Mytilus edulis: one gene and its partner. The protein of the gene in region 1 purifies or fractionates together with the protein of each later gene. This does not show direct contact. Links are inferred from orthologs where the notes say so. Each region holds a gene or a part of one and is shown in the gene's direction. Other genes may lie near its edges.

Evidence for each region.
Region 2: the proteins of signal recognition particle 9 kDa protein-like (region 1) and signal recognition particle subunit SRP54 purify together in Homo sapiens (co-immunoprecipitation; 4 studies listed by BioGRID and IntAct, counting the BioPlex papers as one, with this or other methods). This does not show direct contact. The link is inferred for Mytilus edulis from reciprocal best matches to the Homo sapiens genes SRP9 and SRP54.

The regions. Positions count from the first base shown.
Region 1 is NC_092346.1:35,393,682-35,397,620, reverse strand, and holds the start of signal recognition particle 9 kDa protein-like, read left to right. Parts: upstream 1-983; 5' UTR 984-1,073; coding exon 1,074-1,145; intron 1,146-2,847; coding exon 2,848-2,916; intron 2,917-3,939. UniProt on the Homo sapiens protein: Component of the signal recognition particle (SRP) complex, a ribonucleoprotein complex that mediates the cotranslational targeting of secretory and membrane proteins to the endoplasmic reticulum (ER).
Region 2 is NC_092346.1:4,738,611-4,742,549, reverse strand, and holds the start of signal recognition particle subunit SRP54, read left to right. Parts: upstream 1-1,103; 5' UTR 1,104-1,412; coding exon 1,413-1,490; intron 1,491-3,207; coding exon 3,208-3,299; intron 3,300-3,939. Other genes in the region: acyl-CoA:lysophosphatidylglycerol acyltransferase 1-like, read right to left, coding at 814-816. UniProt on the Homo sapiens protein: Component of the signal recognition particle (SRP) complex, a ribonucleoprotein complex that mediates the cotranslational targeting of secretory and membrane proteins to the endoplasmic reticulum (ER).

The DNA.
Region 1 (3,939 bases):
ATACTATTTAAGACTGGCAAGAATGTGTCAAAAACTCTTCAGACATATTATCAAGAATGTCAGGACTAATCAAGACAAATTTAGGAAAGTCAAGAATTGATCGAGACGTATCATAACACTTATCAGATGATAATTGTATTTTTCCGCGTTTCGGAGCATAGCGGCGGAAAATCATGTTGTCTTATGGTAACGTTTTTTAAGAACAGTATGTTTTTGGCGGTTTTTGTTATGTGTATAGTTGTACACGTGGTTACGTGGACCAATCATTTGGATTGTCAATATGTATTCTTATGTTATTGAGGTAAAAGCGAGTTTATAATTGATCATAATTTTCTTGTGTTTAAAATTCATTCTAGCCGCGGACTTAAACTGTCATCATTACTAACGGTATTCTGACCTCGAGTTGTTTCTCTTTTGTTTCTAATATTTTTGTTTAAATATAAAGATATGATAGATGAAATAAATGCATCCAGAATTCCAGATTATAAAGCAAACTGAGTGCATAAATTTATATTGCGATAGGTTTGTGCAATTTGCCGATAAGTCATCCGGTTAGTAGAAATTAGGATTTGCCAAAGGGTTATAGATAGATAATCGGAAAAATTATGTACATTCCCAAGTAATAAATTAAAATAGTCGAGCTTTAGAATAACTATTCAAATAGAAGCTGTAAATATATACTTTCAACTGGCTTCTTCTATTCACAGTCAATTATTTCAATTCAAAAGCAAACACAAATTCAGCAACAATCTTTTGGTGACCAGGCATTCAGCGGTCTTAGGTTCATGTATTGCTTTTCTTTTATTTTAATTGTTTTATCATATTTCATTATGTATAGCTCCATTGCCACCAAGGATTTGTATAGTACTATATATACAAATCATTGATGCCACCTTTAACTATGTATTATAATAATAAATACGCGGAATGGGTTTAAATCTTTTCCGAACTTCGTTTCAAATCATGATTTGCATTCTACATCACCCGTTTTATACTACTTCCGGTTTGTTGACGTACATGCTTTGAGAGCAGACAGCTGTTTATTTACAATATTTCTAGTGTTCTCAGGCATAATGACGTACATAACATCATGGGATGACTTTTCGAAAGCTGCAGAACGGTTATATCTGAAAGATCCTTCAAAGGTATGACTATTTATAAATGTCTCTGTCTATCGTAGGCCAAAGAAAAATAGTATTAACTAAAAGTACATGTATGTATCTTCATATTTTAACACTCAGTCACAACAATGACTATAGCAATAACTTGTATGTGTGGTTGCATGTAAGTTTGATCACTCTGTAACAGTAAAAGTGAACATTTTCTTTTTCTTGTTGAGATGATGACCTAATGCCACAGGCACTTGTTTCTATCCATAGGTAGTCCGAGATAACTCTGACATCCAACGGCTGTTTTGCCAGACAAGCTGGGGCCATTGGACGTCAGAGTAATCTCGGACTAATCCATAGGAAGGTCGACTATTTATATGGATAGTTGACCTTCCTATGGATAGAAACAAGTGCCTGTGCCTAATGTGTAATGTAGCAGATTATATAAGGATGTTATACGTATCAGGTCCGTTCCAATATACTTTTGCACCCTACACGTTCGCACCTCACATGTTAGGCCCCGAATGCTGTTTGCACCCTACACGTTCACACCCAATTTTATTCCAATTTGAGGAATTAAAATATTATTTATTAATTTGATGATTAATTATTTAATGTTAAATGTATGAGACTTGTCAATTGTTTTTATTTAAAACTATAAAACAGCTGAATTTGGTGATATTGTTGAGTGTTTAAAACTCATGATTTTTGTTTTAACTTACTTTGATGGAAATACTGCATGTATTTCGTATTTAGCTTGGTATTAGTCTGAGATTACTCTGATGTCAAAGGCTGTTTTGCCAGACAAGCTGGGGCACGGCCCCAGCTTGTCTGACAAAACAGCCGTTTGACATCAGAGTAATCTCGGACTAGCTTGGTATGAGCAGAGATGTCTCTGGTATGAGTAAAACAGAAGATTTTAAATAAAAAACATGAAAGATAATTGTTTATAAAAGCTTTTGTTCATAACAGCTTGGCTCCTTTGATCTCAGAATCGCATTTTATTTACAAGAAACCATGAAAAAAATATTTATAATAATACACTCACCAAAACATGATTAAGAATTATTCAACACAAAAATAAAAATACTGGTAGCCTTGGTGCAAATGTGATTGGGCACGAAGGGACCCGGATTCATGTTATATATACATGTACTAATACTAGTCGAAATAATTATGAGGTCTAGAAAGGCTATTCTACTTTTTCACTTTTCAACTCTAAGGTAACTGTAAGGTGTAAAATTTAAAGCAAAAAGCATAATAGCCTTTCCAGACGTCTTAATTATTTGGTCTAATGTAATACATGTACAACATGTATATAATTTCTTTTTTGTTTTTCATCATCTTCTTCTGAATACAGGAGTAGACTCCCATCTTCCCCACAATACAATATTAAAGATTATTGCTATTTTACGAAACTTTCTTTTGATCTTACTGACTTATAATTTCCTTTCTCAGAAGAATTGGTGATATGAAAATTATCGCTAAAAACTAAGCTAATGAAATTAAACAGATTATCATTGGTCACCTCAACTCAATTGCTTTTCTCACTTTCGCCGTACCTGCTCAAGCGGAGAGAAAATCAATCTCCTTGAGATGATCAACTATAATCAGAATCTATTAGTATTCTTCTCTCAGAGAATGATAAGGGTTTCCTAAATTAGTTTTGTTGCATACATGTACATGTACTGTACATTGTTTATATGACTTAATCAAAGTTATCTCCATTTTTAAACAGTGTAGATTTGTTACCAAATACAGACACTCAGATGGAAAATTAAATGTAAAGATCACAGATGACTCAGTGGTAGGTTTTTCTTATTCTTTAAGTATGTATAGTTTAGGTGTATTAGAAAAAAGTAAAAACACAAAAATACTGAACTCCGAGAAAAATTCAAAAAGGAAAGTCCCAAATCAAATGGCAAAATCAATAGTTCAAACACATCAAATGTATGGATAACAACTGTCATATTCCTGACTTGGTACAGACATTTTCTTATGTAGAAAATGGTGGATTAAACCTGGTTTTATAGCTAACTAAACCTCTCACTTGTATGACAGTCGCATCAAATTCCATTACATTGCCAACCACGTGGGAGTATTTGCATAGATCTGACAAATGAACATACATATTTAAGTCAATGATAAAATCTTATTATGACATTATCCAACTAACCTATTGAACTTTGCTTAAAAGGATGAGAAAAAAACACTATCCTATTAGTATTTTCTCTTGAAAGTAGCATAACTGTCAAATTCATGTGACCATTTGACTCAAATTCTCATATATGATTTATCATTTAAAAATATACTAAAACTCATATCCAAATTGCAATAAGTCTGAAATAGTTGAAATACATTTACTCAATAAAACATATCCGAATTTGGTGTATATTTTAGAATCGACACCATCTAATTAACTATTTAGATGACCTCCAAAGACTGCTGACAGTCACCTAACCCAAAAGAGACTTAAACAAAAAATATAATATTTTTACCTGTATACCATAAATTTTTTAGTGGATCGAATCAGTCAACAAAATTGGTCACTTTTGTGGTCACTTTTGTTTCACTTTCAATATTGACTTTCTTTTCCTTATGGCTGAACAGGACTGAATGTGCAACCAATCTTTAGATAATGGGGTAAATTGAAGGTCACATGAATATGGATTCAATGAAATTATTCAGGCCACACTTAAAAGATATTTTGTTTTACCCAAACTCTACCAAAGGTAGAGACAGTGGGTAGGTAGGTAGGTAGACTTTTTTTTATTTTGAAAAAAAGAGAAATTGAAGTGTCAAATGCTTTTAGTCATACTGGTCTGTGATC
Region 2 (3,939 bases), about 31 Mb from region 1:
AAGAAAATGTTTCGCTGTGCAATATGTTGCAAAGGTACTTATTTCAGTGAAAATAGGTTTGAGAAGAACTTATTCATTGATTTCTTTGAAATATGTACATATTGGTCTTAAACTAATATCACAGGAACTTATTTAAAACTTTTAATATTAACTGGAACAAAATTCATGGAGCTATGATATTTGTTCCGGAACTTATTTCATATTTGGTCAAAAAATTAGTTCCGGAACAAATTTTACAGTGCTGGAACATATTTTCTGTGATATAAGTTCCGGCGGAACATATTTCCTATGAAATTAGTTCCAGCGGAACAAATGTCACGCCGGAACATATTTTTTGTTACACATCCAGTTGGGACCGGCAATTATCATCTTTTAAATTATATGGGACAAGTTCTGATGTCCCATGGCCCCAGCTTTTCAAAACAGCCGTTGGATGTCAGAGTAATCTTGGACTCAAGAAACAATGCTTTAAAGCAAAAAAAAATAATAACCTATCAAGACATCATAATTATTTGGAACAGGAAGCACCGGTCTATGACTTGAGGAAATTTTATTTATGCGTTTTGTGTAAATCTAAAGACACTGCATCACAGCAGCTTTTTAAGAGTTAGCAAAAATACGAGTATATGATGATGGAAACTGTCACTGTTATTGTAATTGATAGTCAATACAACTTTATTGATTTCAATTAAAAAAACATCAGCTGATGTCAGTGATGATGTTATCAATTATTGTGCAAAATTTCAATCAAACATGTCTTTTATCCATTTTTATACCAAATATCATAAAAAAAAACTAGACATCGTTATTTACCATTTTGAATTGATGTTTAAAGAATCATAATCTCATGATCAAGGATATTTTTTAAGTACTCGAAATTGATCTCATGGCATAGTTTGAGTTCTCTCCCCTTGTATCGGTGCATCATAAATTTAGACCGGAAACGAAATTCCACCTCATTTTCAAAGTTTAAATTATTGAAATTATCTGAATTATTATGATTGATGATTTAATTTTTCTCTCTATTATTTTTTGTTTCATAAGAAACTCATCAAATCTATAAGAAACTTATTATTATAAGTGATTAATTTTATTAAGAAAAAATTCATTGGACACCGGTCTATAAGGGGAAGTAACTGCTGCTAAACGTGTCAAAATTGAGATTGAGAGAACGAAAACTGGACAAAATGACACAAATGAACCATTCATTGGTTTTTAGATGAAAATATAGAAGCACAAATATAAAGATAATTATACAACCTAAAGTTACAAAAAAGCATTTTTTTCAAATATTACGAAAGTGCATTTATTTTTGGGCAGAAATATATCTGGAAACTTTCCATATTGTGCCATAAAGTCTTACATCAGAGAAAATACCAGTTTAAAATTTCAAAAAAGTTTAAGAAACAGTCATGGTTCTTGCAGATTTAGGGAGGAAAATTACCTCAGCGCTGAAATCTCTCAGCAATGCTACAATAATAAATGAAGAGGTAAGGTTTATAACTTTCTGGGGGTAAGTCCCATCTCGTCCATACTGGAACAGTGTAAATAAATACTAAAATTTAAATCTGTGCCGATACAGTGTGTTTAAATTTCTCCATTACATATGGTGATGGTCCTAATGATAAGAGGCTATATGTAGAATACCAATACAAAGTATTTGGTAGAAGTTTTAAAGATGAGGATATCCTCATGATCAATGCAATTGTTCCAGTTATACTGCTAGTTCGGCTACAGTTGTTTCGGCCATACTTTGTAAAGATGTTTCTGTAATGGATTTTCTTATTACAAAGAGAAGAAAATATAATTGTTTTCAGAAAGAAAGGTAAACAAATGGCAAAATGTATTTTAATTATACATTGTTGTACCATGTATACCATAAGGAGGGCGTCTCTTCCTATAAAAAGGGATACACAGATATGCTGATGGTATGGTTTACTTTTGTTTTAATGTCAATTAAATCAATGGGGTGCCATTTCATGGAAGTAATACATCAATAGGCAATGGGTAGCTAGACTGATTGGCTGAACCCAACTTTTTAAATGTGCTATAGATCATGGTTTAATCTAGGACTTTGAGGGCTTGAGTCACTTTTGCACGCTATTTAAATCAACCTTATTTTGTGTAACATCAAGGGACCAAGGATGTATATTACTAACTACATCTTTGACTTTGCCAAACTTGAAAGGACTTATAGGCATGCTTGGCAGTTATTTTTTATTTGACTAGTTTGGCCTTTATTATAATATATTTTACATGGGATCTGGAAATTTAGTTCTCAATTAGCCTTTAGTTTGTTCCAGGGGACATTCCTGATCAACAAAAGTTGGATTTCTTATTTTTATTTTTTAAACAAGGAATCACAGCAGAAATTAACTTGCAACACTGCATAATCATTTATTTTTTTAAATGCTAAACCGATATTTTGGAAACATTTCTATTAAGTTGGATTTGTATAAAATCTTTTTTGGAACAATTAAAATGACTGTAAGGAGGTTGGACAGTGGCGGATCCAGAACTTTTTATAAGGGGGGCGGGGCCTGCTGACTGACCTAAGGGGGGGGGGGGCCTCAGTCATGCTTCAGTGATTCCCTATATAATTAACCAAATTTTTCCCACAAAAGGAGGGCCCGGGCCCCCAGCCCCCTGGATCCGACTATGTTGTAAGCAAATCAAGAATAGATAACTTTTAATACATTCGGTTTTTAATGCTAAAATCTTTTTACACTTTCAAAATTTAAGTGACAAAATTAATTTGAAATACTTTCGTCTTTTTGAAACCGTTTCGTAAATTACAAAAATGACAAGCACTAGCAAAATCACTGCTTTAGACATAGTTTTCAAAGGTAAGACATATCATTCTACCCAGACACATTATTTTGACTCTAGCCTGACCAGTCATAAGCTGTGTGAAGTAGCAAATACCAATTTTTAAGTCTTTACATGATGTTTACTTTGACTTGGACTTTGTCGGAGGGGATTACAATTAATGAACCCATGATGTCCAGCGCTTGAGGCAAGGTATATATACATGTAGATGAATAAAAACCTAAATTGAAATACTTGGTTATGGTAATGAAAAATTAAAGTTATTTAAAAAATATCATGAATATGGGTTATAATTTCTTATAAACATGATAAATATTGACAGTTATTAAATTTAATAAAAGCCAGGTACAACTTTTTTTTCATTCATGTGTGTTTCAGGTCTTAAATGGCATGCTTAAGGAGATATGTGCAGCTCTATTGGAGGCTGATGTCAACATATTCTTAGTCAAACGGTTGAGAGAAAATGTCAGGTATGTAGATATTAAACTTTGAAATGACCATTGTGCCAGTAGTCGGTTGACTACATTTTCCTCTTTAAGCATGTTAAGGATTCATGTTCAATTTCCATGTCAAGGATCCATTCTCAATTTTATATTATGTTGACATTTTAAGACCAAAATTTAAGTCTCAATAGCATCACATGATAAACAAGCATGGATTAATGCAACAAAGGGGAAATGTGATCAGGGTTATAACGGTTGATTTCTTTAGACTTTTTTTCAGTAGTTAGAATATATACCATGTATCATGACTATTACAGACACATGTATGACATGTATGACGGCAAAGTTATTCATTTTATACTATAGTTCTAAAACAACTCTTTAACCATCTTACAGTCAAATACACAGTTATTTTACCTTTAATACATGTAATGACCAAGAGTCCGGAAACGGTAATATTTGTCAGTCTTGAACTAAACTGAAAGTGTTTGTCCTAAACATGGAATTGGGATTTAGGACAAATTTTATTTTTTAACAGAAATAATTTCGGTCATTTTGTTGAGATCGAGTTTCCAAAATCGCCATTTTGAACTTTTGTTTTGTTATCCCTTTCTTGTAATAAAACTGTCACTCCAGTATAGAGTTATAATCCTGAGTTCCCTCCTAA